4 linked regions of the Saccharomyces cerevisiae S288C genome follow. The gene in region 4 interacts genetically with the main gene of each other region. Each region holds a gene or a part of one and is shown on either strand. Other genes may lie near its edges. The genes, in order: PBS2, PSD2, CMK2 and CET1.

What was found.
Region 1: mutations in CET1 (region 4) and PBS2 together harm fitness more than expected from each alone (negative genetic interaction), as found in Saccharomyces cerevisiae (3 studies listed by BioGRID).
Region 2: mutations in CET1 (region 4) and PSD2 together harm fitness more than expected from each alone (negative genetic interaction), as found in Saccharomyces cerevisiae (2 studies listed by BioGRID).
Region 3: mutations in CET1 (region 4) and CMK2 together harm fitness more than expected from each alone (negative genetic interaction), as found in Saccharomyces cerevisiae (2 studies listed by BioGRID).

What each region holds. Positions count from the first base shown.
Region 1 is NC_001142.9:175,888-184,351, reverse strand, and holds PBS2 (mitogen-activated protein kinase kinase PBS2), read left to right. Parts: upstream 1-4,248; coding exon 4,249-6,255; downstream 6,256-8,464. Other genes in the region: SPT10 (Spt10p), read left to right, coding at 132-2,054; MCO6 (Mco6p), read left to right, coding at 2,643-2,801; TRK1 (Trk1p), read left to right, coding at 7,046-8,464. UniProt on the Saccharomyces cerevisiae protein: Kinase involved in a signal transduction pathway that is activated by changes in the osmolarity of the extracellular environment. Activates the MAP kinase HOG1 by concomitant phosphorylation at 'Thr-174' and 'Tyr-176'.
Region 2 is NC_001139.9:832,900-841,058, reverse strand, and holds PSD2 (phosphatidylserine decarboxylase 2), read right to left. Parts: upstream 3,918-8,159; coding exon 501-3,917; downstream 1-500. Other genes in the region: methionine--tRNA ligase MSM1, read left to right, coding at 1-235; LSO2 (Lso2p), read left to right, coding at 4,394-4,672; pseudouridine synthase PUS6, read left to right, coding at 5,156-6,370; PEX35 (Pex35p), read left to right, coding at 6,577-7,707; clathrin light chain CLC1, read right to left, coding at 7,902-8,159. UniProt on the Saccharomyces cerevisiae protein: Catalyzes the formation of phosphatidylethanolamine (PtdEtn) from phosphatidylserine (PtdSer). Plays a central role in phospholipid metabolism and in the interorganelle trafficking of phosphatidylserine.
Region 3 is NC_001147.6:291,957-299,476, reverse strand, and holds CMK2 (calmodulin-dependent protein kinase CMK2), read left to right. Parts: upstream 1-3,356; coding exon 3,357-4,700; downstream 4,701-7,520. Other genes in the region: IRC10 (Irc10p), read right to left, coding at 639-2,399; ESC8 (Esc8p), read right to left, coding at 4,804-6,948; t-SNARE syntaxin TLG2, read left to right, coding at 7,403-7,520.
Region 4 is NC_001148.4:114,988-122,708, reverse strand, and holds CET1 (polynucleotide 5'-phosphatase), read right to left. Parts: upstream 4,328-7,721; coding exon 2,678-4,327; downstream 1-2,677. Other genes in the region: NEW1 (New1p), read right to left, coding at 1-942; ALG5 (dolichyl-phosphate beta-glucosyltransferase), read left to right, coding at 1,542-2,546; YPL229W (uncharacterized protein), read right to left, coding at 5,022-5,642; USV1 (Usv1p), read right to left, coding at 6,222-7,397. UniProt on the Saccharomyces cerevisiae protein: First step of mRNA capping. Converts the 5'-triphosphate end of a nascent mRNA chain into a diphosphate end.

The sequences.
Region 1 (8,464 bases), on a different chromosome or scaffold from region 4:
ATAAAAGAGCAAAATTCATTACATTGGCGTTAGTTCACTGCTCGGGGGATGAGTAAAAAGTGTACCGATCAAGAACAACTCTAGACTTCCGCCAAAGTGATTATCAACAAAAATCGTAATAATTAGCTTCAATGCTAAATCAGCACACAAGTTCAGTACCGGATGACGAACATCTGCAGATGGCACACCAAAATAGCAGTTCAGAAGTGAGAAATGAGGCAGCGGTCCCAGATCAACTTTTGACTCCTTTACAACCGTATACCATTTTATTGAAAGATGGAGAAACAATAGCTACGATGTATCCTATACCTGCGTATCCTGATTTATTGCCGCTAGGGCTCTTAAATTTCCTTCTAGATGAATTTAACATGGAAGTGGAAAAGGGAGATAGTTTTCCTTATTACGAGACTTTATCACTAGAAGAATTCAAAAATGTCTGGTTTCATAATGATGGTCACGTTTGTATTATGGTGTTAGGCGAAATACCAGAACTGGATTATAGTATGGATACTGAAGCGGACACAAATGATAATTTTGGAACAGAAATAGAAACCACGAAGCACACCACCCAATATAAGAAACGAAAAGAACGTCGCAATTTAAATCTAAGTATGCAGTGGGAGAAGCAATGTCTAGGCATATTTGACCTCAAACCAGCATACCCTGGACGGTCAGCGCATGTGGTCACAGGAACATTTCTGGTCAATGCTGGTATTCGTGGAAAAGGTATTGGGAAAACACTAATGGAAACATTCATAGAATGGTCAAAGAAATTAGGATTTACGTCCTCCTTTTTCCCGTTAATTTACGGAACGAACGTAGGAATCAGAAGAATTTTGGAAGGATTGAACTTTAGGCGGATTGGAAAGCTGCCTGAAGCCGGGATTCTCAAGGGCTTTGATGTCCCAGTAGATTCTTTCATGTATGGTAAAGAGTTCACACATATTACGAAAAGTATAGATTTGTTACGAGATCCTCAAAAGAGTATCGAAATTGGGAAATATGAACGATTAAAGCATTTTCTGGAAACAGGCAAGTATCCTTTACATTGTGATAGAAACGAAAAGGCTAGATTAAGAGTACTTTCCAAAACTCATTCGGTATTGAATGGCAAGTTGATGACAAAAGGAAAAGAAATCATTTATGACACGGATCAACAAATCCAGATTGCATTAGAGATACATTTAATGGAACATTTAGGCATCAACAAGGTGACCTCCAAAATTGGTGAAAAATACCATTGGAGAGGAATCAAGAGTACTGTTTCGGAGGTAATCTCTCGGTGCCAAAAATGCAAGATGAGGTACAAAGACGGGACAGGGGTAATAATTGAACAAAAGAGAGCAGTTAAGCAGGCGCATATGCTACCGACGCAGCATATAGAAACTATCAACAATCCAAGAAAAAGCAAGAAGCATGATAATGCGTTATTGGGACAGGCAATAAATTTCCCTCAAAATATTATTTCCAGTACGCTGAATGATGTGGAGGGTGAACCCACTCCGCCAGACACTAATATCGTACAACCCACATTCCAGAACGCCACGAATAGTCCCGCAACAACAGCTGAAGCCAACGAAGCGAATAAAAGATCCGAGTTTCTTTCCTCAATACAGAGCACGCCACTATTGGACGACGAACAGTCAATGAATTCCTTCAATAGATTCGTGGAGGAAGAAAACTCAAGAAAAAGACGAAAATACTTGGATGTTGCCTCCAACGGAATTGTACCCCATTTAACGAATAACGAATCGCAGGATCACGCGAACCCCGTCAACCGTGATGAACGAGATATGAACCATTCAGTTCCCGATTTAGATAGAAATGACCATACTATAATGAACGATGCTATGTTGAGCCTCGAAGATAACGTCATGGCCGCTCTAGAAATGGTCCAAAAGGAACAACAACAGAAGATAAATCATCGAGGTGAAGATGTGACTGGCCAACAAATCGATTTGAACAACAGTGAAGGTAATGAGAATTCAGTCACTAAGATTGTTAACAACGAATCTAATACATTTACAGAGCACAATTCTAATATTTATTATTAAATTGCGACTCTGCCAGAGACGGTCACATCACCAACCCTAGAAACTATAAAGTTTGTACAGAAAAAAGGTACATTTAATGATGCGTCCACTTTTGGAACAGGGTTGACAAGTCTTAAATCTTATTTCAGAAGTGATTTTTGAAGTAAAATTGGAAACTGAAATTGGAAACAAGGCACTCAACTCAATTATGCTTGCATGACGAAAGGTTCTGTTACAGTTTTACGTTGAAACCTAGGTACTGCAGAAATCCATAATCGGAGATAAATAACTAAGCTTTGTGCTGCAAAATTTTCCAGATTAGGAAACCTGATCCTCAGTGCCCTTTTAAGTACTGCTGTATCTGATGCCGTGAACGAGACACTATTGGCTGCGTGGGCACGTACCAAGTATACTCATCAAAATTTGTCTTAGGTTTTCCGATGCGGAAAATGGCAGCGCACAATTTAAATAGAAAAGGAGTTAAATGTACAGCAGCAAAATCAGTCACTCACGGAGAAAAGCTACGGTAGCGTAACGAAGAGCACATTGCTACTAGCAGCCAGCTAGATAATTGCAGCAGTGTACAGTTTACGCGACAATAAAGAAAGCATGATTTTCTTTTTCAACCAGATCCGTTCAATATTTACAGCTTTGCATACGCCAACTCAACAGATCCAATTATCAAGAAGGGCCTTTTTCCAATTCTTAGGCTATTTGGGTAGTTGTGTTGTGATTTCATTAGCAGCTCAATCGAAATACGTGCAGTAAGAAATGAAATAATGACCTGCAACAGTCCTTCTTGAGATGGAATGAAGTAATTGCTCTTTGAACGAGAGCACAAAAGCAAGCAGAAGTCGCGTATGTCAAGCCCATGATATAGCTGCTTAGATATATAGGTAGATATAAATAAGCACAATGGCTACAGTAATTGTGCGGTGCAGGGAGGCAATGTTTAGTGCATCTCCTCTACATCATTTCTATTTTTAATCTCGTCCACGAGAACGATTTAAGGAAATGGGGCTTCAAAAATAAAAAAATCAAATGAAAGTAATAATCTTTCAGCTTAGACTTATTTTTAGTTGAAACACTTGAATAAGAGTGCAGACACTCAATCGTGGTGTAGCTACAAGAACATATGGTGGCGTGTTTCTGCTGCAACTGTCAAGATCGTCTGTGTCTTAATGAGGTGATATATAGAACTGCTGAATACGGAGCCGTTTGTCTTTTACTGCGGGATTAACTTCAACAGCTACGGCCGAAGCCAATTCTGGCAAAAGGCAATGACTAAGTCTTGTTTCTCATGTAGATTACTATTTTGAGCGTGTTGCTTTTCTGTTCCCCTTGAGCATAGCAGCAGGCACGGAAGCATACAGAATATTCACTAACATGAGAACAACTCATTACTAGACTACTACCAGTTACTACACATCGATACAACTCCCCAGAAATATCACTGTTGAGAGTTCATGTCAAGACGTAGTATAGTATTGCAACAGGAAAAAAAAATCTTATTGCGTAGCACTCTGTATCTATTTTATATATCTGTTTCTATATTTGATTAATCTCTTGTTATCTTGGTGATGATCGCACAAGTATGTACTCCTGTATCTGCAAGAATATCTGTTTTAAACTTTTCAAAGCAAGGAAACCCCGTCTTATATAGGTTATCCGCAAAGGTCACATTTTCTTGCAAATAGAAGAAAAAGCACCCACAAGCACACTAACACAGTGCCAGAGCAAAACTATATCCTTTGCATCCGATCTCAAACGCTGTTCTTATCGCATCTGTCTTCGTCCTTTCATCTGCATTTACCTTTTCTTTTTCATCCTCTATTTGCCTTTTCATTAGTGGCAATTTTTCCAGTTTTTTCCCTCTGCGTCCCGTTGCACCTGAAAGGATCTTTCTAACGTGTGTTGTCTACTAGTGAGCGATTTCGTGAGCCATACACGTTCTATAGAAAATTGAATAAACTTTACTTCAAAGGGATCTGGACACAGAGATAACTGCTTACCTGCTTGCCGGAAGAAAAGAATTACTAAAAAAGAAGACAAGGGTAGCTGCTATTGTGGGTACACGTTTCACAGAACTACTTTTTCCTTGTCCTTCTCCAGACATCAACGTCATACAACTAAAACTGATAAAGTACCCGTTTTTCCGTACATTTCTATAGATACATTATTATATTAAGCAGATCGAGACGTTAATTTCTCAAAGATGGAAGACAAGTTTGCTAACCTCAGTCTCCATGAGAAAACTGGTAAGTCATCTATCCAATTAAACGAGCAAACAGGCTCAGATAATGGCTCTGCTGTCAAGAGAACATCTTCGACGTCCTCGCACTACAATAACATCAACGCTGACCTTCATGCTCGTGTAAAAGCTTTTCAAGAACAACGTGCATTGAAAAGGTCTGCCAGCGTGGGCAGTAATCAAAGCGAGCAAGACAAAGGCAGTTCACAATCACCTAAACATATTCAGCAGATTGTTAATAAGCCATTGCCGCCTCTTCCCGTAGCAGGAAGTTCTAAGGTTTCACAAAGAATGAGTAGCCAAGTCGTGCAAGCGTCCTCCAAGAGCACTCTTAAGAACGTTCTGGACAATCAAGAAACACAAAACATTACCGACGTAAATATTAACATCGATACAACCAAAATTACCGCCACAACAATTGGTGTAAATACTGGCCTACCTGCTACTGACATTACGCCGTCAGTTTCTAATACTGCATCAGCAACACATAAGGCGCAATTGCTGAATCCTAACAGAAGGGCACCAAGAAGGCCGCTTTCTACCCAGCACCCTACAAGACCAAATGTTGCCCCGCATAAGGCCCCTGCTATAATCAACACACCAAAACAAAGTTTAAGTGCCCGTCGAGGGCTCAAATTACCACCAGGAGGAATGTCATTAAAAATGCCCACTAAAACAGCTCAACAGCCGCAGCAGTTTGCCCCAAGCCCTTCAAACAAAAAACATATAGAAACCTTATCAAACAGCAAAGTTGTTGAAGGGAAAAGATCGAATCCGGGTTCTTTGATAAATGGTGTGCAAAGCACATCCACCTCATCAAGTACCGAAGGCCCACATGACACTGTAGGCACTACACCCAGAACTGGAAACAGCAACAACTCTTCAAATTCTGGTAGTAGTGGTGGTGGTGGTCTTTTCGCAAATTTCTCGAAATACGTGGATATCAAATCCGGCTCTTTGAATTTTGCAGGCAAACTATCGCTATCCTCTAAAGGAATAGATTTCAGCAATGGTTCTAGTTCGAGAATTACATTGGACGAACTAGAATTTTTGGATGAACTGGGTCATGGTAACTATGGTAACGTCTCAAAGGTACTGCATAAGCCCACAAATGTTATTATGGCGACGAAGGAAGTCCGTTTGGAGCTAGATGAGGCTAAATTTAGACAAATTTTAATGGAACTAGAAGTTTTGCATAAATGCAATTCTCCCTATATTGTGGATTTTTATGGTGCATTCTTTATTGAGGGCGCCGTCTACATGTGTATGGAATACATGGATGGTGGTTCCTTGGATAAAATATACGACGAATCATCTGAAATCGGCGGCATTGATGAACCTCAGCTAGCGTTTATTGCCAATGCTGTCATTCATGGACTAAAAGAACTCAAAGAGCAGCATAATATCATACACAGAGATGTCAAACCAACAAATATTTTATGTTCAGCCAACCAAGGCACCGTAAAGCTGTGCGATTTCGGTGTTTCTGGTAATTTGGTGGCATCTTTAGCGAAGACTAATATTGGTTGTCAGTCATACATGGCACCTGAACGAATCAAATCGTTGAATCCAGATAGAGCCACCTATACCGTACAGTCAGACATCTGGTCTTTAGGTTTAAGCATTCTGGAAATGGCACTAGGTAGATATCCGTATCCACCAGAAACATACGACAACATTTTCTCTCAATTGAGCGCTATTGTTGATGGGCCGCCACCGAGATTACCTTCAGATAAATTCAGTTCTGACGCACAAGATTTTGTTTCTTTATGTCTACAAAAGATTCCGGAAAGAAGACCTACATACGCAGCTTTAACAGAGCATCCTTGGTTAGTAAAATACAGAAACCAGGATGTCCACATGAGTGAGTATATCACTGAACGATTAGAAAGGCGCAACAAAATCTTACGGGAACGTGGTGAGAATGGTTTATCTAAAAATGTACCGGCATTACATATGGGTGGTTTATAGCGTTAATATCCAAATAAAAGCAAACAGGCACGTGAATATAACAACAAAAAAAAAGCAGACGAAAAGCTACTGTGGAAATGATGCGGCGAATACAAAAAAACCTTACATATACATATGTTTATTGTAATAAACTTGCATTATACTCGTTATAGACATATATATATATATATATTCATATATATATATCGTCTGACTTCCTTTTGTCGAACCTAAAAAAGGGCACGAATTATGACAGAGTATTGAGGGGATGTTATTTCAAGCACCGGCAAGTGAAGCGATGTGGACGTCAATATATTGTGTTATTCGATTATTGCTACGGCCATCGACTCCTCGAAATTATTTACGTTCGGGGCTGACAACGCAAGAAAGAAAAAATGCTCTGGAATTGTCTGATGGTTTTTCCGCTCTTTACGGCTCAAGGCTAGGAAAGAAAAAAAAGTCCAAAATCATCGAGAAAATAAAAGGTGTTTTGAAAGTTCAAATCCACGTTATTGAGAGTAGATGTGGAGTCTGGACCAGGAACTATACCTGTATCTTACCCTAACTTCTAAATTTTGCTACTTTCACGGAAAACAGTAAATAATTACCTATCAAGATAAAGAGCTCTTACATTATTAGAAACTTTTTGTTACTGTTGCTTTCCTTTCGCCCATTGTTTTTACCTTACCATTAGCATCACTGATTCCACACTTGTATTGCCTTAAAAAGAAGGAGGGTATTCTATTGGCTCTCAAGGAAGTCATTCCTATCCATTTTACTTAAAGTTATTACCTTTTTTTGATAACTAACAATGCATTTTAGAAGAACGATGAGTAGAGTGCCCACATTGGCATCTCTTGAAATACGATATAAAAAATCTTTCGGCCATAAATTTCGTGATTTTATTGCTCTATGTGGTCACTATTTTGCTCCAGTTAAAAAATATATCTTCCCCAGTTTTATCGCGGTTCACTACTTCTACACGATATCCCTGACATTAATAACTTCAATCCTGCTATATCCCATTAAGAATACCAGATACATTGATACATTGTTTTTAGCAGCGGGCGCAGTTACACAAGGTGGCTTAAATACTGTGGATATCAACAATCTAAGCTTATACCAACAAATTGTTCTGTATATCGTATGCTGCATATCAACACCAATTGCAGTTCATAGTTGCTTGGCATTTGTACGGCTTTACTGGTTTGAGCGCTACTTCGATGGTATTAGAGACTCTTCTAGACGAAATTTTAAGATGAGAAGAACGAAAACAATCTTAGAAAGGGAACTAACAGCAAGAACCATGACCAAGAATAGAACAGGTACCCAAAGAACGTCTTATCCTAGGAAACAAGCTAAAACAGATGATTTCCAAGAAAAATTGTTCAGCGGAGAAATGGTTAATAGAGATGAGCAGGACTCAGTTCACAGCGACCAGAATTCTCATGACATTAGTAGGGACAGCAGCAATAATAATACGAATCACAATGGTAGCAGTGGCAGTTTAGATGATTTCGTTAAGGAAGACGAAACGGATGACAATGGAGAATATCAGGAGAACAACTCCTACTCGACGGTAGGTAGTTCGTCTAACACAGTTGCAGACGAAAGTTTAAATCAGAAGCCCAAGCCAAGCAGTCTTCGGTTTGATGAGCCACACAGCAAACAAAGACCCGCAAGAGTTCCCTCAGAGAAATTTGCAAAAAGAAGGGGTTCAAGAGATATTAGCCCAGCCGATATGTATCGATCCATTATGATGCTACAAGGTAAGCATGAAGCAACTGCTGAAGATGAAGGTCCCCCTTTAGTCATCGGGTCCCCTGCGGATGGCACAAGATATAAAAGTAATGTCAATAAGCTAAAGAAGGCCACCGGCATAAATGGTAACAAAATCAAGATTCGAGATAAGGGAAATGAAAGTAACACTGATCAAAATTCCGTGTCAAGTGAAGCAAACAGTACGGCGAGCGTTTCGGACGAAAGCTCGTTACACACAAATTTTGGTAACAAAGTACCTTCATTAAGAACAAATACTCATAGATCAAATTCGGGCCCGATAGCCATTACTGATAACGCAGAAACAGACAAAAAGCATGGGCCATCAATTCAATTCGATATAACTAAACCTCCTAGAAAAATTTCAAAAAGAGTTTCAACCTTCGATGATTTGAACCCAAAATCTTCCGTTCTTTATCGAAAAAAAGCATCGAAGAAGTACCTCATGAAA
Region 2 (8,159 bases), on a different chromosome or scaffold from region 4:
TTTGGCTATGGAAACGTCTAGAATCCTCTCCATTTTATGCCAATCCATTATACCATCTCTCTCACAAAGTTTCCTAGATCGTATTGATGTTTCAAAGGAGAAAAGGACTATAAATTATGCTAGATTGGGTTCCGATAAAACATATGGAAAGCAATCTAACAAGAAAGGCCGAGAAGTACCTTTGAAAAAAATTCCATTCAGGTTGCAAGAGGAACAAACGAATATGAGGTCATGAAAAAGGTACTTACTGCACTGTAAATATTAACTTAAGTATTATATCGTATTTTCTGCAAGAGGACTAGGAATATAGTTTCTTTTGTTACTAATAAAAATGCATATTTTTCATAGGAAATTTCCTGGTATGAAACCATTGCTTTCATTATCAACGATGACTTGTTTGTACACGCTATAGTCTATAATAAAGTCTGAGGGAGATTGTTCATGTTTTTTTTTTTTTTCCATTTTGGTAACCACTAACTACAGCCAATTTTTCGGCGGCTTCATAGCCCAGCAAAATCTTTATTCATCATTTCCCGTAAAGTATGATATTCCCATGTTACATTTCCTGTACTCTTGGCATTTTCATCGCTAACACTAATTGTTCTCTTGATCCGTTCAATTTTCTTTGGGTCGTCTACTTTAATACGGATTCTCTTCAATTCATTCACATTTGATGTGTGTCCTATACTCATCCCGACTTTGACTAACGTTTCAATGCGTTCTGAAGAGTTTTTCACAAGGTCGGAATCAAACATGAAGTTGTTGTGCGGGATAATGATTATTATAGTAGAACCTCCAAATTTAAAATAGCCCAGCTCCTGTCCACTCTCAACTACATCGTTTTCTTTGCAGGTCAATAGTATGGATCCAACCATCATTGCACCAATAGGTATGTACAGTAGTTTGCCAAATTGAGGAGAATCGATGGGGATAATAACTCTGATATTTTCACCAAAGACGTCTAACTCACTACGAACGGCCATTGGATTTACAGTATAATACTCTCCATCCACATATACAGGTTTTCCAATCGTACCATTACATGGTGAGTGAAACCGGTGATAATCTTGTGGCGCCAGTCTAAATATACCAATACTGCAGTTATTGTCATTAAATGTTTCCGGATTATAGTTATTGGCTAGTTTCTTAATAGAAAATTTTCTTCCTTTCACCCATATTTCCTTCGATTCTTGTATAGTTGGGAACACTGTGCATCTTGAATCTGCTGGTGAAAACAATATTTCTTTATTATTACTTTCAGGCAGCCGGCTTCCTGGTTTTAGTTTCCTGTAAAAAAATTCATTGAATGTTTTAAAATCTTTATCTCGGCATTGTGAAAGGTCTAGCGAGTGAAACTTTATGAAAGGTTCAATTTGTTTGGCAGATGCAGTGCTGTCAAATTTTTTGCCTTGCCTGATTGATAAAGTCTTCAAGAGGGATCTAAATTTTTTAGACTCGGGACTTTTACCATTGTATATAATCCTCATTCCCAACTTTACGTGTGCGCTTATTTTTTCCTCAATAATTATCCCTGTGTCTCGGTCTTGAACCAAGATGTTTGCATTGTTAGATCCCAAAGCATATTTACCATAAGTTAATTTTATCAAAACCTTAGAGAACCATCTCTTGGATGCAAATGCAGATGAGACGTACGACGGCTTTAAAGTTTTGTGTTCTTTTGAAAACGTACATATGGCAAAATGGGTTATCAAGTCATTTTCTAGAACCAGTTTAGAACGTCTAGCATTTCTAGTTGGTTTGCATGAACGCATGCATCTAGGACATGTCCAGATGCGTTTAAAATTAGTGGATTTTCTCCATGACTGTAGCCCTTCAACTAATTGTGATCTAGTAATGCTCTGGCCGGCCCAAGCAGATTTATTGAAATGCTGAAAGAGTTCAAAAGAATCGGCCATCGTGAATGAACCAAGACGTTCAAGATAGAGCATTACTTGAATAATGTCGAGTCTCTCTAAGTTGACTGATGTGTCAACAGCTTCTTTCCAAAAGCTCTTTTTTAAGAACGGATATGAAACATATTTGAAGCTCGAATATAATACCGGTTGCTTAGGAGCATGTGCTGGCTCAACAGTGAGATCCAATGGTATCTCATAAGGTATCCATTCGTTTTCATGTTGTTGCTGTTGCAGCATATCAAACCAAGCCAGTTCGCATTTTGCAACGTCATCATTGAATGAAAATGAGTCTTTATCAACAACTTTGATACTGAAAGCAAAATTCGTTTCATGGGGAAAAACTTCGAAAGCGGCATATTCATTAAATTCTGGGTTTAAAGTATGTTTTCTCCAAGATGTCTTGAATACTCTTCTACCAAACGAAATAACGATAAATGGATCCATTTCATAATTAGTCTTGGACAACCGATTCCTTAATGCAGGTAAATTTTTGATAGCCCCAATATGCATAAATACTACCCCCATCGCATGTTCCTTTTTCGATATAAAAAAGTTACTTTTTGCTCTTCTGTATAAGTAATTTGCATATGATTTATTATGTTTACCCCTTTGCAGGTGTAAAAGCCGACTCCCAATGTATTCTTTTGATTGAAAATCAGAATCTTCACGCTCATCCTCATTATATATATCAAACTCCTCATCACTTTCCTGTTGGTTTTCAGATTCTTCGTCATCCACTGATGTTATGTCATTTTCCGACACTGCAGGTAATTTTGCAACATCTTCTGGTTCTACGATATCATATTCATCTAAAGCTGTTATCATTGAAGATAGACTGATACGGGTATCTTCGTCGATGTCATGCACATTTATGTCTGGCACATTTGGATGATCTGCTTCTTCAAAATCATTTAGAATATCTAGTTCTTCATCATTTAGCGAAACAACCTCAGATATAGAGTCGAATATAGTATCATTGTCTATATCGTACCTCCTCTCCGTACAAATGCTGCCGCTGCTATTCATATCTTCAATAGATTCCTCAGCATCTATTTCATCCTCGGCATTGACCTCTTCATCGTGGGCTAGATCAGTATCGCTATATGGTTTCTCGCGTCGTATTTCATTTCCACTAACAGCTGAACTATTGCTCAACATATCTTCTAGTGGAGGTGGCAAAGAACTAGAAGATCTCATGCGGGCCTTATTTCTATCTATTCTGCCCAAGTAAGTGTTCAACTCATTTCTCCAAGCATTGAAAGCCTGAAAAGTCGGGGTTCTTTTAACGTTACATTCTAGCTTAAATCCAAGCAAAATATCGCCCACTAGAAAGTTGCAGTTCAAGGAATCTTGGTCTTTCCCTCCTTTCATATCGTATAGATGGTACCGCTGAGCTTCAATTGAAAATTTATAGCTCGTCGTGGTGTCCTTCCTCTTGAATAAATCCAGTAATGAAATTTTTGCTTCACCCAAATATAGATAGCTATTAATCCTATTTTTGTGTGTGGACCCGGGACCTGTTGTTGAGAGAGAAGAGGAAGAATGTGAAGGGGCCGGTGTAGCTGAAGATGATACTGAATTAATTGATGTTGAAGTTTGATTACCTTTGGACGTAACATTCAAATTTCTCGACGAATGAGAGTGAGAACTTAGCCCTGAATTTGACAGTGTCGATGAAGATGTATTTGCAGTGGTTGTCCTTGGTCTACTGGGGGTAGTAGGGGGAGCTCCGGTTGGTAGGGCGTCGTATACTATAATCCTTAACCATTCAGATGTTGGATTTCTCGGAAGTTTGATCCTCAAGGTTTGATTCCAGTGTGTATTTGAGTTCTTGAGCTTGTTCGTCTTTTGACTATAAAATGTATTAGTGGTAACAAAACATACCGGGTTACAATTGAATGTCTTCAAGGCTTCAATATTTTCAGCTTGAATGACATGAATTTTTAAAATTAGCGTTGGCTTCTTGTTCTTGCCTCGCTTTCTGCCCTTAATAATCCTCATCTTCGTCGTTGGATGCTCCTGAAAATCGAGGATTCTTTACCAATTGATACAGCATCAACCACTTTGGGCTAGTTTTAGCATCAAATTGGAATAGTTGTCATATATAAGAAGAATTCCTTGAAGTAGCACATGCGTTAGGGCTAGGATCTCAAGTTTCCAAGAGTTTGACATGTGCCCTGCTTTTTTGTCTTTCTCCTTCTTCCAAACCTCATTTTAAAGTAACATAACCTTTGTATTTTTCATATTAGCCCTTAGTTTTTTTTTACCCTAAAAAAATTTTTTTTTTTTTCTTTGAGTCGTGAAAGCTTTTTTTTTCCAGTTAAAGACCCCTCAAAATGAAAAACTTGTATAATGTTTAAAATAAAGCTGAATAAGTTGAAACTCAAGTTTATATTTAATAGGTAAAAGAATTTATCAATTGAGCACAAAACCTGCCTATACAGGAAATAATAGAATAGCAAAGAGGAAGTAAAAAGATGGGTAAAAGATTTTCAGAATCCGCCGCAAAGAAAGCAGCTGGCTTAGCAAGAAAAAGAGATCAGGCACATGCTAAACAAAGAGCACAAATGGAGCAGCTAGAAGCGGAGGAAGCTTCTAAATGGGAACAAGGTTCGAGGAAAGAGAATGCCAAAAAATTAGAGGAAGAGCAAAAAAGACAAGAAAAAGCAAGAGCTAAAAAGGAGCGCGATGCGTTGCTAACCGCAGAGGAGGAGCAACTGGGCAAGGGTGGCAAGGGTAAAAGAAAAATGAAATAAATTTGAAGAATCTTAGCCTTATAGCGGCTAATAATTGCATATGATAAAGTCATTCCCACTTTATCTCCATAAACATAAAAACGCAAGACAAATAACGACAATAAAAGTAACAGTGGTAATAATAATACTTCTGTATGAGGATGCTTATCTTTTGCGGGTTGAGTACAAAAATACACATGGTAAGAAATCACTGTTCAACGTTATAAGAATAAAGAGGGACGAGGAAGGATAATGCAAGTGTAGTTTACAGTAAAAAGAATGACTTTATGGTACTAATGGTATGAATAGTTGAAATTATGTACATTAGATTTGCATATGTATGTATATATAGCTTGCTGTCATACAAGAAGATTGATAACAATGATAAAAGTTAATGAAAAATTTACTTTTTTTCTTTCATTAAAAGGCAAATAAATGTTTCTTGTGAAAACTTTATTGACGATTGCTCGAGACAATCAGTGGGCAAAAGGATGATTGTCAAGTATGTCAACTATCAAAGTTATTGAGGTATATACACAGAATGGACTGAGAAAGGTACGGCCCTATTATAACAGAAGATCAGCGTTCGTGAAGGGGCGCTGGTTGGGTAAGTTACTAATAGACGTTCTCGTTAGTGAATTTAAACTTCGCCCAAGAGCTTATTATTTGGACCAAATAAGGAAAGGCACATATAGGTTGATCCGAGATGGTGTGCCGCTGGTACCAGATCATCTCATGACTACCATAATCAAGAATCATGATGTTTTAGAAACAACTACGCATAAGCACGAACCGCCGGTAAAACAATGGTGTAGCCAGGAAGTTGAAGCGGAGGATTTACCTGGCAGAATAGCGGGATTCAATATTGTTTTTGAAGATGAGAGTATCCTCGTCATTGATAAACCCAGTGGTATACCAGTGCATCCAACCGGTCAGTTTTACCAGAACACAATTACTGAATTACTGAAGTTACATGGTGTAGATGCTCTTCCTTGTTATCGGTTAGACAAGATCACATCAGGCTTGTTGATATTGGCCAAGAACAGTCAGAGTGCGGGGGAAATCCAGAAGAGTATTCGTTCAAGAGATATGATTAAGATCTACTTGGCAAGGGTCAAGGGAAGATTTCCTCACTCCGAATTGATATTGGACAATGAAAATGCGGCGGAAACGACTTTTGAGGACACTTCCAAAGTTACAGTGGAAATGACACCCATATATTCTATCGATCCAAAGAGACAGTTTCCAGTTGGTTTATCGACATCGAAGGATGCTATTACCAAGTTCTACCCAATAAGATACTTCTCTCATGCTGATGAAACTGTCGTCGCTTGTAAGCCAATAACTGGAAGAACACACCAAATTCGAATCCATTTAGCTAGGCTCGGTCATCCCATCGTCAACGATAGTGTTTATTGTTCGCATATTACAAAATACCCCGAAAGGCTTAAGTTTATAACTCAGTTTCCTAGATGGGAGAATCAGCAGGATTTAGATGCTGAGGAATTGAAAGTGAGGTTTCAAAAATTTGTCGATGAGACAAAAAATAATTGTCGGACAATGGAAACATTTTGTCCTGAATGTCATACTGTTGATTTAAAGGATCCTGTGCTATCAGACCTAGAATTATGGTTGCATGCTTGGAAGTATGAGGAGATTAATGGCAAATTCAAGTTCAAAACAGATTTACCAAAATGGGCACAATTGGACAATAGTTAAACTTTTTTTTGAGCGAACTTTTTTTGTATATAGTTTAGTTACCATTTCCGTACTTTGGATGTAAATTAAAATTAAAGAGAGACATTATTTTTAGTTGCGAATACATAACAGCGAATGTTCATGGGGAAAAGTTAAAAACCCTATATAAAGCACCACGAAATACACATCGCGAACAGAGCTAATGAGAGTATACACTTGCTAACTATATGAAACACAATCGTCCAAATGGTACTGGGAAAGCAGTTTCTGGCTTCAAGCAGATAATAAGAAGGCTTCTACTCCTCTTGAACAAGAAGAGAAGAAAACAACTCGTCATCATCTTGAAAAGAATAACCCAAGTCTATGGAATAAACCTAGTATTTTATGTCAAAAAATGGAAATTGAAAAAATTACAGGGTGAAAATATTCAAATAAATGATATCATGCCATGGCTAAGAGAGTCTACTATATTAGTCTTGCTGAACATACTATATCCAACTTTGATGAAGTTCCCATTTTTAAAAAATCATTATATTCACTGGTCTTCCATTGTAGGAATATCGTTAATGCTTACCAAGGGTGAGGTACCTTCGTGGATTATCGCACACTTTCTTGTGGAAGCTATAGCCTCCAAATTAAAGATCGCAAAATTAACACAATGGTTGAAAAAAAAAAATTTTTCCCAGGGTACATTAATAAAATTCCAGCAAATTCTTGTGTGTTTAGCGATTATTGTATTATTTGCCAAACTGGACAGGAGTTCGTTACCATTCCGTGTGCTTTTTGACCATAGGCCATTTTTAATAGATTTCTTCACAATCAATGCCATTTTCACAGTTTTGGCAGTATATCACAGAACATTAAAATTCTTTTTTACTTCAGGGACGAAATCAAATAAGAATGTCGGCGGCCACGAAGTCAGGAACTTTTCTCAATACCTTGGGGTCAAGAACCATAATGATTGGCCCATATCTTCATCAAATTTGAAGCATGTAATGGACAGACTAAATGAAATACATGAAGTTACAATTGATGATAATTATGCAAATATAAACGAAAAGATAATAAATTCATATTTCACCAAGGGTTTTTTTCCAAGTCTAAAATGGACTATATTAAGGCAGTGTATCGAATATTTATTCGTCACGAAAAGGCGCAGATTAATGGGCAACAAATTGCGGTGCATCGTGATGCTTCTTACATTCACCTTCGTGGATCCAACAAGTAAAATGAAAATCAGCCCATTTTTCGCAAAATTCTTTGCGAAGTCCTTGGTTAATGTTTACTTGAAAAAGTATTGGCATTGCAACTTTGGGAAATATATACTATTCTTTTTGTTTCAGCTTAGTATTATGTGATGTGTTTTTTTAGAAGAGAAGAGTTTACAAGTTTGTAAATAATCTATATTATAGTTGTCTTGATAAATGAATTTACAGTATGAATTAGTTATTTACTGAACCTATCAAGTATGATACTCATGTATGACGGGAATGATAGGGAATAAGCCCCTTCTCTTCCTTAGTTCATTATGGTTCTTATTATTCATCATCATTTAAGCACCGGGAGCCTTCGCGTTACCTTTCAATCTCAAAAGAATTTCTTTAAGCTTAGACCTGTCTCTACCCCCAATGATATCGGCATCATCTTGGTTAATTAATTGAAGTGCACGATCCCAGGTCGTATTGTCTTGACCAAAAAATTCATCTCTTTTCTTTAAGAAAGCCTCAGCTTCCTTAGCAGCATCTTCCAATTGTTGTTCCTTCTTTTTATTGTAAGAATCGTAAAAATCGTCAATATGTTTGATAGCTTC
Region 3 (7,520 bases), on a different chromosome or scaffold from region 4:
ATAGCAAATGATGTTTTAATATATATAACTATTTATTATTTATGGTGGCTAAAAAATTTTCAGGTTTTCAGGCGACCTCTTCAGTATCCATTATATGCCGCGACAAACCCTTTTTCCAAAAACGGTCATCGATGTTTATTCCGAGTAGGCTCAGTTGCCTGCGCCCGGACCCTTCTTAAGGGGAAGTTCTCGAAACTTTATGTAATTTTAAGTTTAACATAAACTGTATAAGCCGCTGTAACACTGTACCAAGATAGGCGTTTTAATTACGGCCTAGATTGTTTAATATTTTGCTTAGAAATAATAGGGCACAAAAAAACATTCGAGGCTTAAAGTAGTGTCACATAAAAATGTGTCTTCTGGTACTTATTAGAAAAGGCTTCCCAAAAAAAGCACAAAAGAATTTAGTATTGAATGTTCATGCCCCTTGTCGGAATAAAAACGGAAAAAAGGGAGAGTAAACTAGTCTGTTGTAGCAGTAGGCAGTGATGATTATTCCTGGAAAAAATCAAAGATTCTGTCTTACACAACTTATTCAGTACAGTTTCGCTAAGTAAGGAAAGAAACTTTACAAGGGTAAAGTAGGTAAAGTTCTAAACTATATGTCAAGGGTGTCCCAAAATAAAAACTAACAGTACTTAATGAATAGAGTTCCTGGGATTGTGCTGATCCCAGTTTTCTTTGGCAGCTCTGAGCGCTTCTGCAACTCTATGTAGGCAATTTTTAAATCGGTTGACTTTTTCTCTAGATTTGTTCGGTAAAATGAGGTGTTCTTGTGATAAATTTTCTCTTTTGTTGTCACTTACGTCAACGCTCAGCCTAGGACATGATGTCTTAACCTTAATAGTTCTTCTCGACAATATATTTTTGAAATGTTCGTAATTTCTGAAGAAACTATTTTGTTTTTCAACACATACAGAACTTCTCCTCATGACAACACTTCTTACACTTTGATCTCTACTAAAGGTAGAATTTGGTGAAGCTAGATGGACTGGATAATATGGTGATGATTCCGATATTATTTTCAAATTAGGGGTCAAAATTCTGGACCACGTTGAAGGTTCCCCATACGGATCAGGAGCTGGGTTTGAGCAGACCCAATTTGCTGTTCTTCTCGAGATTGTCTTTGCAATAGCAGGAGTTATACGTTGCATTTCGGCTATCGCTTGATTAGTAGTGTCTTTTAAGGCACTTTCGTCGCTGGAAATTACTGTTGCATGTGTCAATTCGATTGAGAAGGGGTTACTATCTCTTGTGGCCTTTTGTTCCGGAAACGTAAGCAGTTTATTGCCTGAATCAGTAGAGACAGTTCTACCGATTTTTTCAAACTTCCTCTGTGTGGTGCTTTGTTCATTGCGAAAATTTGATCGGTATAAGCGATGTGTACGGTTTAAAGTAAGTTCTTGAAGGGTAGGATTGTTGCTTTCATTAATTTTTTCTAAAGAAAAATTACTTCTCAACAAATATTCAGTTTTTGCTGACGTTGTAAGTGGGAATTCGACGGAGAATGTTTTATCATCGCAAACGTTCTCACTTGTGCATGAACTTTTTGTTGTTTTTGATGTAGTGGCGTTCTTTCCCTTTTTATTCAATATCTTTTTCGATATATAGTGTAAATTTTTGGTGTCACTGTCTAGAGAAAGGAAAGTCTTTCTTGGTGTCTTTTCCCAATTTACAGATACTCTATAATTTACTGTCGTAACCGCAAAAGAATCCACTGAATCTAATTTTGACCATCTTATTGTTCGTTTGAAGGAAAAGCATAAAAATTTGCCGGTAAATTTTCCAATTTTCATACCGTCACCATGAAAAACTGCTCTTTTATCGTCAATAAAAACATTTGGAACATTAACGTTAGTTCTCAAATACAGAATTGCCTCGCCGGTTTTTTCATCCTTTACGCTCTTATATATGAGATCGTGGAAATGCTTGACAAACAAATTATTTAAATTTGCATGAGGTTCTGCAAATAGCAACATGTTGTTTTTAATCCTTCCAAGAACTTTTTTCATTAGTGCAAAATAGGGAGTGAAGACAGCATGGAAAGCGCTTTTTAACGTTTCATTCGTAAAGTTCAAACTGTTCACGGAACATTTTCCAGGCCAGTGGAATCGTACCCAATAAACAGTTGGACATAGAACTAGGACTGGCATACACTCTTCCATTTGGAGAATGGATATTAGTATAATGTAAATATAATTGATTTCATCTGGATGTCTCTCAAAGTCAGCAACGCTGATTCGTTGGATGTATTTGTTTGAACCTGCCAACAGCCTGAAGTACTCTAATTTTTGTTTGTATGTAGCGAAATTAGTAAATTTAGCCAATCTTAGCATGCCTCTAGAAAATGATATATTGATGCTTTCGAAGCCTGGTAATCTAGAGTATTCAATGAACATGATTGAAAAAGCACTAGGCCAGGTGATTATACCGCAGACTTACGGTAATATAAGGGCAAGAGAACTAAAAAAATCAATAATGTAGGCTTATATTACAGTTCTTTGTGAGATATTCCTTTCTAGAGCGTTTTCTGTGTCCACTCAATTAATATATACACTTCCCGTATCCTAACATTTACTGACACAATGATAGGCACAACGCGCGAAGGAGCGGTGGGGCTTTGAACAATAAGGACCCTTACATAGAAAAGGCGTTAGAACAACAATATGGTTAGGCCATAGAAACCTCGGTGTCTTTTAGGAACTTCACAGAATAGAACATACTGCAGTAGATATAAATACACCACTGGGGCAATGCAGCCTGGTTTTTTCCAAATATACAAAACACTTCATGATACTTACTAATGGTCGTTGATACAGTACTCATTGTATCATTGCAGGAGAGTTAGGTTGGCTTTTTTGCATTTATTTATTTATTCATTTACTCAATTGACAGGCAATGTCAATGATTTTTTGGAAGAAATTTGCCTAATGTTTTTACTCAGTTACTCACCGCTCCCTGGATAACATAAGGTTCATTTGCTTCCGTACTGATTTTTTTTGGCAGTCTATAAGCCACTATGTACTTCCCAATGCTCCTGCAGGCATATTCTTTTTCAATTTTCATGTTTTTACTTCCAGTCGTTGAGCATCATATGGATTCTATGTTGATGAGGCTTTTCAGAACGTGCTGTACTTTCGGAGAAGCGCCCGCTTTAACGCAGCGCGAAGAGAATAATTGAGGCTTATCTTAGAACCCTGCCCCCTTTGAAGCCACCCATTGCTGTTTCTCTTGGTAATCCTAATAATATAAAACAATACGATATTGTTCAAGATCAGCAGAACTTCAATTCGTTGATCAATCTTTTCGTCACCTTTTCTTCTATCACATCGCCAATATAAATATAGACACCAAAAATGCCCAAGGAGTCAGAGGTCATAAATTCTGAATTTCATGTAGATGTCCAAGATCCAGAGCGTCTAAACGGCCACCCTGTAGCAAAATTTATCAATAAATTAAGCGGTCAACCTGAATCTTACGTCAACAGGACTAATTATATTTTCGGTCGAACACTGGGTGCCGGTTCCTTCGGTGTTGTGAGACAAGCCAGAAAGTTGTCCACAAATGAAGATGTTGCTATAAAGATCTTATTGAAGAAGGCATTGCAGGGAAACAATGTGCAATTACAGATGCTGTACGAAGAGCTGTCCATTCTTCAAAAATTGAGTCATCCGAACATTGTGTCATTCAAGGATTGGTTTGAATCGAAGGATAAGTTCTATATTGTCACTCAGCTGGCAACAGGAGGTGAATTATTTGATAGAATTCTGTCTAGAGGGAAGTTCACAGAAGTGGATGCTGTTGAAATCATAGTTCAGATTCTTGGTGCCGTGGAGTATATGCATTCCAAGAATGTTGTTCATAGGGATTTGAAACCTGAGAACGTTTTGTATGTTGATAAGTCAGAAAATTCGCCTCTGGTAATTGCGGACTTCGGTATAGCTAAACAATTGAAGGGGGAGGAGGATTTGATATACAAAGCAGCCGGATCGTTGGGTTATGTGGCACCAGAAGTCCTCACACAAGATGGACATGGTAAGCCTTGTGATATATGGTCCATTGGTGTGATCACATATACTTTACTGTGCGGTTATTCTCCTTTTATTGCCGAAAGCGTTGAAGGATTCATGGAGGAATGTACAGCTTCGAGATACCCGGTAACCTTCCATATGCCATATTGGGATAACATATCTATTGATGTTAAGCGTTTCATCTTGAAGGCATTGAGATTGAATCCAGCTGACAGACCAACTGCTACGGAATTGCTGGACGATCCATGGATTACTTCAAAGAGAGTTGAAACTAGTAATATTTTACCAGACGTTAAGAAAGGGTTTTCTTTGCGTAAGAAATTACGTGACGCTATTGAAATTGTGAAGCTTAATAATAGAATTAAGAGGTTAAGAAATATGTATTCATTAGGGGACGATGGCGATAACGATATAGAAGAGAATTCCCTCAATGAAAGTCTTCTGGACGGCGTCACACATTCGTTGGATGATTTACGTCTGCAATCTCAGAAGAAAGGGGGAGAACTAACAGAAGAGCAAATGAAATTGAAGTCTGCATTAACAAAGGATGCCTTTGTTCAAATTGTCAAAGCTGCAACAAAGAATAAACATAAAGTTTTGGCTGGTGAAGAGGAAGACGATAGCAAGAAAACACTGCATGATGATCGGGAGTCGAAGTCAGAAGACTAAATTACGGACTTGAATTCGTGTACATAAATTCGTATATAATATTTAATGTGTAAAGCTAGTGACGATTTTATGTAACCAGCAGCTACACTTCATGGCATTCAAACTATAGACCTTTTCTGGCATTACGCCTCAAGCTTCTTTTTTCCCGAGAATTATCTTGTAGTTGCCTAACGGGTTCTGAGAAGATCTCTATATCATCACAATTCCTATCACAATCTTTAGCGCCATTGTGTAATTCTCTTTTCCCAAAAGATTTATCTGTCCTATCTTCACCTTTTCTTGTCAATGTATTCTCCTCACTCAGATATTCTGAATCATAGTCATCGCTAACGTCAATGTCAACTTCATTTTCACTTTCCTCGGAAACGTCACCATTTACATCACTCGAGTAATGCACCGTGGTTCTTCTCTGAGAGCTTGTTCGCAAATGACGTCCTTCAGTACTGCCTGTAGGGGCAGCAGTTATGCGCTGAATAGTCTCATTTATGAATATACTGAAAATTTTCAAAAACTCAATTAGATTGTCTATACCCTTTTTTGTATCATCGGTGTCATTTTCAGTAAGTGATGATAAACTTTCCAAATACTCAATGAAGTTGCTCAAAGAATTCGAGTCTCCTGCAACTTCAAACCAATGCGGCACCTCGGCAAAGTGAACATCATTGAACTGTAAATTACGGATACATGCAGGAGTGTTCCTATATATAAGTTTAAGTTGACACTTGTTTTCATTTTGTGCGGTTTTTGCAGGCAGTATTTTTGTACCCTCCTCTTTGAATTTTACGAAGTAATTAAGATAAGTTGACATGTCATTGAAACTGTAACTAGTGTTTACTGAACTGCATTCGTTGCCAATCCAGAATGGTGGTAAGTAGAAATCTCCAACTCGTGGAATTCTCGCTATCATAAACTCTGATGTCCTTAACTTGTAAATTTCGTCTACGGTGGGATCATCAATTGGTGTGTGTGTAAATTCGTTTGCAAAATATTCACCCCATTCTTCATTTATTTTAACTGCAGCTCGTAATCTGTCTGTAGTTACTTTTTCGCTCAATGATTTCCGAACACCCTTTAGAAATTTCATCTGACTATTGATCTTACTCAGTTTTCCTTTGTCGCTGGGCTTCCTTTTCTTTCGATTTTCCAACTTTTGACTCATCAAAGAGCATAAAACTTCACAACTATCTAATATGTTATTGGCCCCGCACATAGCAAACCTGCTGGCGTGAAAAGTTTGATGGTTGAACCCTGTATCGCCTTTCAAGTGAGTGAGCCTTTGAATTTCATTATGGAAAAGTGCGGAGTAGCTACAATTCCAATCGATCATGCATCTCAATAATATTATTCTATCTAATGGTTCCATCGTCAACAAACCACCTCCATTAAAATTTAGAGTAGATAAAATATCACTATTACCACGCCATTCTTTTGGTAAGCCCCACTCCTGGATTAAGCTTCTGAGTTTGCCAACCAGTTTTCCATATGGATTTTTCAAACTAAGAAATCTTTTTAGCGTGAAATTTCTATGAGTTTGGTTGTCTGCTCTTTTCTCGGAGCAGAATAATAACCTCAAAAGACTGCAAAATAGTAGATTCATTTTATCCTGACAAATTCGAATATTCTTCGCAGAATGGCCAGCCACCTTTAATTCTAGTCCTATCTCCACATCTTGAAATGACAGGTTCAGTAGATCGTCGCTGAACACCCATTTAAATTTGACGATAAAAGAAAGGATCTTCATAACATCGCCTGCATATGGGAGAGGGGTGCAAAGGGGAGGCGCCCAATTGCTTTCCGTTACCGTCTCATCACTCATAAACTTTGCAAAGTCAGAATATCGTAAAGGAATATTTGGTGACCAGTTTAATGTATTCAATGGTCTATTATTAGAAGTAGTGTGTTCACTGATCGACTCTACCTTGTTAGTGTCGTTCGAATGTGTTTTGATATTAGAATATTTGCTTGCCATATTTGCCTCCATTTCTTTAGTTTTCATTTCTTCATCACAGGTACCTTCATATTTCTCCCGCTTTTTAGTATTTTGGGTAGCAGCATCCAGTGATTCGTCAATTGAACTATTGTGAGAAAGTACAACAGGTTCTTCTACAATTTTGATGTTTCTGAAATCATCAAAGGTCAACTGACCCCTTCTTTTTACCCTAGGCTTTGAAGACTGGTTTTTCTGTTGTTTGACCATAGGTTTCTTGATAAAGTCATCGACCAAGTCTAAATCAATAATTTCTGTCATTATTGTACCTCAAATTTCTTGTTCCTTATTTTCTTGTTTGATGTCTAAAAAAAAGAGATATCCTGGTAATGAGCAGGCCGTTTCTTCAGCTCATACAATCGAAAGCTTAAGAGTTAGTCGTTGATATGGTATTCTCTAATACCGAAAATAACTTAGTACATATAAACGCGTAAAGTTCACGCGTTTATATCACCCTACCATATGACATTCTAACCCTACTAATTTTTTATCAAAGCTAATAGGGTTGTATTTTATTATCTTTTACACCTACCTTTTTTTTTTGTATATGCCCTATAGATGAATTATAATTGTTGGACCGGTTTGTATTGGGCTTTTAAGGTGTAAAGTGAGTGCGTATAGATTATAGCAGAATAGACTATAAGTACGGCAAGACAGGAAAGTCTCCAATTGATGTACATTTTATCGCTTTGTGATCTAGGCAGTCGTTACAAACATGTTTAGAGATAGAACTAATTTATTTTTATCATACCGTAGGACTTTCCCTCATAACATAACTTTCTCATCTGGGAAAGCACCCTTGGGCGATGATCAAGATATTGAAATGGGTACAT
Region 4 (7,721 bases):
TAAAACTGGAACTGCATCTTTGAAAGTAAGTTCCAATAAATCGTTCGCCGAATCTTCTCTTATTCTATCTACAACGCTTAGAGCGGCCATTTTAGCTTGCCATTTGGCACCAGATGATAAGTAATCCAAAATCGTAGGCAGTACAAAACAGGTTAAAGCCTCCATTGGAAAGCAATTCAACAAAGAATCAATGGCATGTTGCGCGGCACGTTTGACTGTATTCTCTTTATCTGAAATACAGTCAAGTGCGACATTGAAGAATGGTAGCAAGTATGCTTCCTGTGGTGGCTTTCCACTGAAAAATTGAGCAATGTTGGAAATTATTAGCATGGCAGATTCTCTAACTAATGATGGATTCTTAGGTTTGATGAATTTAGATAGAACATCGACGATTTTCCACTCTTCAATTTTCTCACCCGTACTGTTACCTTCTTTGCCAAATTCTTCAATGATTAGTTTGATTTGATTTTTGCAATCAGTGATACTTTGACATTCAGGTATCTTTGACAAAAATTGAGAGATGGGTGTTAACTCTAAGTTCGACAGCTTTTCATTCAAAGAGGTCAAAGATGTAGTAGAAGCAGATGGAGTTGGAGTTCCACTTTGGTTGGGCGTCACAGCCGATTGTTTGTAAGTAGATTTTTGATAGCCCTGGCCATTGTATTTATTATAGTTATTGTAGTTGTTATAATTGTTGTAGTTGTTGTAGTTGTTGTAATTGTTGTAATTACTGTTATACGATTGGTAACCACCTTGTTGGTAGTTGCCCCCCTGTTTCCAATTACGCTGTTGTTGGTAGCTACTTTTTTTGGAAGCGTTATTACTACCGGCATCAGCAGCAGGGTTTTTAAAATAACCACCGAAGGGAGAAGCGACTAGATTTGGGTCCTTTGGTTGGTCGTCAAGGAAAGAGTTTAGATCCTTAAACTTCTTTGGAGGCATCCTGAGTTGAATTAGCACTGATTGTCGTTGTATTTACAGTTTACAAGATATAAATTATGCACTATAGATCGACGCATATGTATTATCTTAAATAGGTTGCAATATATTATTATTTTTTAACATTTATTGCGATGCTGCTGAAAATTTTTTTTCCACCTTGAAACTTTTCTTTTTCCATTGAAAAATTAGATGTGGTGTTTGGGTTTATTCCATTTGATCTTGTAACTTCTATACTAGTCACAACTAACAAGTCCAAAGTCAAGTGTACATAGTTATCCTATTTTCACCGTTATCACTTCAGTACCTTTTAATTTATATATATTAATGCACATGGCTCTGTTGTATCTTTCGAAGCAGTGTATGCCATTTTTTTCATGAGAAAGCGAAATTTGGCGTATTCGAAAAAAAGTGTAAACAAGAAGAAAACGTGCCAATTTTCAAGGCTTTATCGCAATTAAAGTGGCACAAAGGACCATAGTCACTGTGGAAAGGTAGTGGTATCTAATTGGATGCTGTAAGGATAGATTAGGTGCTTTTGATAACGTAAGAAAGGGACAAAAACAGAGAGGCAGCCAAAAATTACACAAAGCACAACAAAAATGAGAGCGTTGAGATTCCTGATTGAGAACAGAAACACTGTCTTTTTTACGCTCTTAGTAGCCTTGGTGCTTTCACTGTATTTATTGGTCTATTTATTTTCGCATACACCAAGGCCGCCATATCCAGAGGAGCTCAAATACATAGCTATTGATGAAAAAGGTCATGAAGTTAGTCGTGCCTTACCTAACTTGAATGAACACCAAGATGACGAAGAAATATTTTTATCTGTTGTTATCCCAAGCTATAATGAGACAGGTAGAATTTTACTAATGTTGACAGACGCAATCAGCTTTTTAAAGGAAAAATATGGTTCCAGATGGGAGATTGTCATAGTGGATGATGGTTCCACAGATAATACCACACAATACTGTTTGAAAATTTGTAAAGAACAGTTCAAATTGAACTACGAACAATTCAGAATCATCAAGTTTTCTCAAAACAGAGGCAAAGGTGGCGCAGTGAGACAAGGTTTTTTACATATTAGAGGTAAGTATGGTCTTTTTGCCGATGCTGATGGTGCTAGTAAGTTCAGTGATGTAGAAAAACTAATAGATGCTATTAGCAAAATTGAAACGTCTAGTACAGATCTAAAAACGACTAAACCAGCAGTAGCAATTGGTTCCAGAGCACATATGGTAAATACCGAAGCCGTCATAAAGAGATCAATGATAAGAAACTGCTTGATGTACGGTTTCCATACCTTAGTTTTCATCTTCGGCATCAGGTCTATCAAAGACACACAATGTGGATTCAAATTGTTCAACAGAGCCGCTATATTGAAAATTTTTCCGTATTTGCATACAGAGGGTTGGATCTTTGACGTTGAAATTTTGATCTTAGCCATCAGAAAAAGAATCCAAATTGAGGAGATACCAATTTCCTGGCATGAGGTTGATGGCTCTAAGATGGCTTTAGCTATTGATAGTATCAAAATGGCGAAAGACTTGGTTATTATAAGAATGGCCTATTTATTAGGGATATATAGAGATAATAAGAAATGTTAGAGTAATTATTTTTATGTTATTATTATCATTATTATTATTATTACATAAGCTTTCATAACAGCATTTGAGTAAACAAAAAAAATTTCTCGCTCAAGGGCATTTGCTTATTTTTTTTTGAAATGATTCAAATATTACATGACTTTCTTTGAACCTTCAAAAATTTCATATGATAAAGACGATAACTTTCTTCTAATAATTGTACCATTATTCAGAAACGTTCTAATAAGAGATGCATATTCTTTACTATCGTTCGTTATGTTATCAAAGGCGTTTAACAGTGCAGGCGTGTTGATTTCTAGTTCCACTTCGTGAGTGGTCTCTGATTGTCTACTTTTTGAATTTTGGTTATGATTTTCGACTTTTGTAATATCAATTCTGGTACAGGAATCATTATGAATGTAACTAACACGGTCTTTCGTCCTTTCACTAATTGGGCTTTGAGATTTATATTTTTCTGGCGGATCGTTGTCAGGTACAGGTAATTCCAAGTTTAGGGAGATTTTAACGTCGTAACTATCTTTTGGTGAATATAATAGTAGTTGGGCTACATGTCTTTTCTCTATAAATTGTCCTACCCTCCCAGTCTTAATATCTGTACTCATTCTCAAAAACCTTGGTCTTTGCGTGGATAGTCCGACTCTATAGACGGAATCTCTTGTCTGGGATTCAATAATACTGAATTTACCTGTATTTTCAGTGACTTCGCTAATACCACGAATATATTTGCTCAACTCTTTGAACAAAGATGCATCAATATTAGGCGTTAGATGGGCATCAAGCTCAGTGAAAACACATTGTGAAGAAACTGGTGGATTTACACGATCTGGGCCTTTCGCATCAATAATAACACCAAATTTCATTTCTAACTCAATGAAGGATCTTAGTTCAGGAGCAATTGAGTATATTGTAGCATAAACCCAGTCCTGTACTGACTTTGTTAAGTCATCATCGGGAATAATGTTTAAAAAAGATGGGTCAATTTTGAGATCTTTCACATTTATACTTTGAAGAGCTTTGATAGTAGGTTTCCATTTTTGTGCCCAAATTGGAACATTCCTGTACTTACTGGGCTTGGAAGACGCAGATATTTCATTCAGAACCTCCAAATCTCTCTTGATATTATTCTTTTTTGATTGTAAAGTAGCTTTCTCTTCAAAAATATTATCTACAGCTGCATTCGCTTCTTCTTCCTTCTTGACCACGCTTCCTACTGCATTTCCCGCTATCTTCTTCTCAGTTTGCTTCTGCTTTTGCAGAGGTACTTGGGTTATATAGTTGCTGGCAATGTTCCCTTCATTACCTTGTTTCGGTATTCTCTGTTCTTCATCACTCTTGCTATTCTGATGAATTGAATCATCAGAAGGCTTTTCTAACTTCGCATTGGCATCACTACCATCATTCATAGGAGGTGATCCGTTGGATAGTAAATTTCTATGTTGTTTATCATAGTCAAAGTCCATTTCTGAATCAAAATTAATTTCTCCACTTGCACCCATTTCGTCATCCGTATCGGTTTCTTCATCATCATTAGATGACTTGCGTGATTTAGGTTTTTGTGAGTGCGAGCCATGACCAGTACTCTCCTTGTAATTGTCAATCGGAGCAGCTTGGCCCGTTTCCGTTTGATTTATATCAGATTCTAAATTTTCGGCAAAAGGTCTGCTGCCATTAGCCGCCTCACTTAATTTTTGTAATTTAACCTTTTCATTTTCATCGTGATTCACCAGATCGTCTAACGATAAAGCTCTTTTTGTTTGAGGAGGGTTGTCAGTGTAACTCATAGTGGGAGGATAGAAATGCTACCAACAATTCAAGGTTTTTTAAAAAAAGAAGTGCTATTCCAGATTCAATTTATAAGGGATATTTTGGAAATATCAGTATAGTATTCCCAGCAGATCTTTCAGTGTCGAATACGCTTTTAATTATCACTCTTATTTGTGTGAACCTATATTATAGATTCATTAGAGGACTTTTCCTTTATTACCATAACTTACGACGAAACTAACTAAAATGTAGGTCTATATATCATTTGTAACGGCACGTTGGGTAATCATGACTGGTACATGTTATATGTTATCTACGCAGGTCCTGTTTCTGGCATTATGTATGGCTTGACTTTAGGAGTTCCAGTAAAACAAGGTTCAAGATTTATTATATCACCATACTTGTAGCCTCCAGGATTATTATGAAACAGAAAAATGGCATGTATTTTTGAAAGAATATGGTTATATGAGTATTTAGTGCTTAGTACATACGTCTTGCGTCTGTTTGCAGATAAAACCCTTCTCCTTTTATCTACATATACTAATTGAATAGTGAACTACATGAATAGAAGAAACCGATAATTAAAAATAAGTAGGAAATGAAACGGCTTGACATAATATAACATAACGTAACATAACATGGACACAAGATTTGTTCAAATGAGGAATATGCAAAAAAGAAATCAAAACAACGTGTTTGTCCATATCGCGATCATTCTTGAACACTTTCCAAAGGATTAAAACTTTGAGATGTATAAGGATTGAACTTCGGCCTAGAGTTGAATATAGAAGAAGCAGAATTTGGAGGTGAAGAAGACATAGAACCAGGATTAGAACTGGATTGCGTGTTCTGATGATACAATGACATTTGTTCAGCGGTCAGCCTATCCATTTTCTCGCATGCTTGTTGTTCTTCGAGAGAAAGTAAAGATCTTGGACAGAAAAATAAGTCATCTTTGAAAGATTTGCAGATGTTGTTCTTGTATATTATGGAGGAGTGGTCTATATCTGGGACAACATAATGCTGAGACGATCTGCTAAAGAGTAAAGGAGGGATAGTACTAGTGTTGGCATTCTTGTTAAGGTTTGAGTTTTCGCTGGTACCGGCCCCTACTAAAAACAAAGGCGGGCTTATTGGTTGTTGCTGTTGCGGCTGCTGTAACGATGACGCAGTGCGATTTTGTTGCTGCTGTTGCTGCTGCTGTTGCTGCTGCTGAAGACGATCATATTTGAAATTCTGGAAACTGAGCGCATCTGGAATAATACCAAAGGGGTTGCTGCTTGCGAAGTTCATAGGTTCTTGGATATTTGGAGGGGTGTTGTAGGGCATCATTTCATGTAATATAAAAAAGTGGTTATATGTGATAGTTTATCTGCTAAAATCGGAAAAAGCGTCATCTTGTCAGTGAAATGAGATAAAAAGCTTCTTTCTTTTCTTTTTCTTATTATTGCAATTAACGGGGGTCCGGGTGAGCGTAAGGGCGAGATAACCATGGCGGTATAGGTGTATATGATCAAGTTTTGAAGTCAAGATGCAGGATTGTTCGTTCCGTATTCACAATCCACCGTTAGTGTTACATCGTAGTTTTTGATGCTACTGTGGGCTGTGTAAAGCAGACGCGGGAGTTTAAAATTAAGTTTTGCGGTTATTTCTCGTTGATCAACGCAAGAGGTCAGAAAGCCCTTTATGCAAGGGATTTTTTCTTGCAATTGCATCTTATCATTTTTGTAGCACTGATTATACATAGCTTGACTCATTTGAAAAATTTTATAAACTGCATTTAGTATGGAACAAAACATAAAAATAAAAAAAGATGCGCACCATAATTTGTTTGCGCATATTAAGAATTATATTAGTTGTAAGATATTTATACTCTACGGAATATTTGAAACTTAGATCAGATTGCCTCGATCAAGTCAATATGTAATCAACACTAAGCCTTTTCTTATTGGTGTTGACCGAAATATCAGACTCTGATAAAGTTTCCGACCTCTTTTTGTTATTATTATCATTGCGATCATCAGTATTCTTGAAATTTTCTCCCCCTTTGCCGCCATTCTTCGAGGAAGACATATTATTGTTTTTATTTCCATTTGGTGGTTGGCTAAATGCCTGCTGATACTGTGGTAAAATAATTGGTTTTGCTTCAGCAACTGTCGTTGACGGAGAAAACGGCGGGGAGAATGAATCAAGATGGTTATTGATATTACTAGTATTGACATTGATATTGCTTGGTCTAATATTGTATTTGTTCATAGTTGTCCGTGCTTGAAAGTCGGCAGAATCTTTATATTTGAAGGAAGTACTTGGCATGGACCTCGGAGGAAAGGACGATATGATTACCTCAGAGGCCGGATGGCTCGTTGAGGAGGGGCTCACATTCAAAGGATACTGCACATCTACTGATGGTAAATAATTGATGGTGTTATTATTACTGGGAAGAGGATACTGGTAGTAACTATCAGTGATTGGATGGGAAGGAAAATAATAGGGAGCCTGTTGATGCTGTTGTTGTTGGTGTTGTTGCTGTCGTTGGGTATTATAAATGGACCTTGGAGAGATGGGTGGGATGCTTCTCGTGCTAGTAATGAACTCCGGCGAAGAATGTATTATTTGGGGCGCTTTTTCGTTTTCTGCCATCATCGGCATGTTCCCGCTATTAATATTAGTTTTCCTGTAAGGATCACTATATGATGTAGATGATGAAGCAGAAGACGAAGAAGATGCAGAAGAAGAGGAGGATAAAGATGAAGAGGAAGGCTTACGCTGGTGCGAGCTGGTAGAATGGTGGTTTTTATGTGCATGGACCGATTCCCGATGCTGTTTCAAATTATCAACTCTACTGAAGAATTTCAAACATGCAGGACACTGGAACGGCTTTTCACCAGTGTGCTTTCTTATATGACGTGCAAGATGTTCCGCTCTAGTGAAGGACATCGTACAACCGTCATATCCGGTGCATTTGAACGTTTTCCTTCGAGCACTTTTGGACCTCTTCGGAGTTGATGCCGCTACACTATTGGTGGCAAAGTTACCATTGCTGCTCGTAAGAACGCCTGCAGTATTACGATTCGTGGTATTTTCCATTTCGTGTTTTTTTCTTATCTTATCACAGTATTATTTATGTGTTAGTAAAAAAAGCTAAGCCAGTAAGTCGCTCCAGATTTTTTCTTTACATACATGGTTAATGAAGCTGTTGCAAAATACTGCAGCCAAGAACTCCTGTCTCTTTCAAAACAAGACGAAACTTTATCTGCCGGGATGAATAAGAATTAATCAAAATTATAGGCAATAAGAGTGGATTGAGATTGTTATATACGGAAGACTGTTGAACGGTTAAGGGGGAAGCCGTGAAGGAGCAAACAAATCTTGAAAAAGAAAACATTTTCTAAAAAAAAATAGAGGGGATAA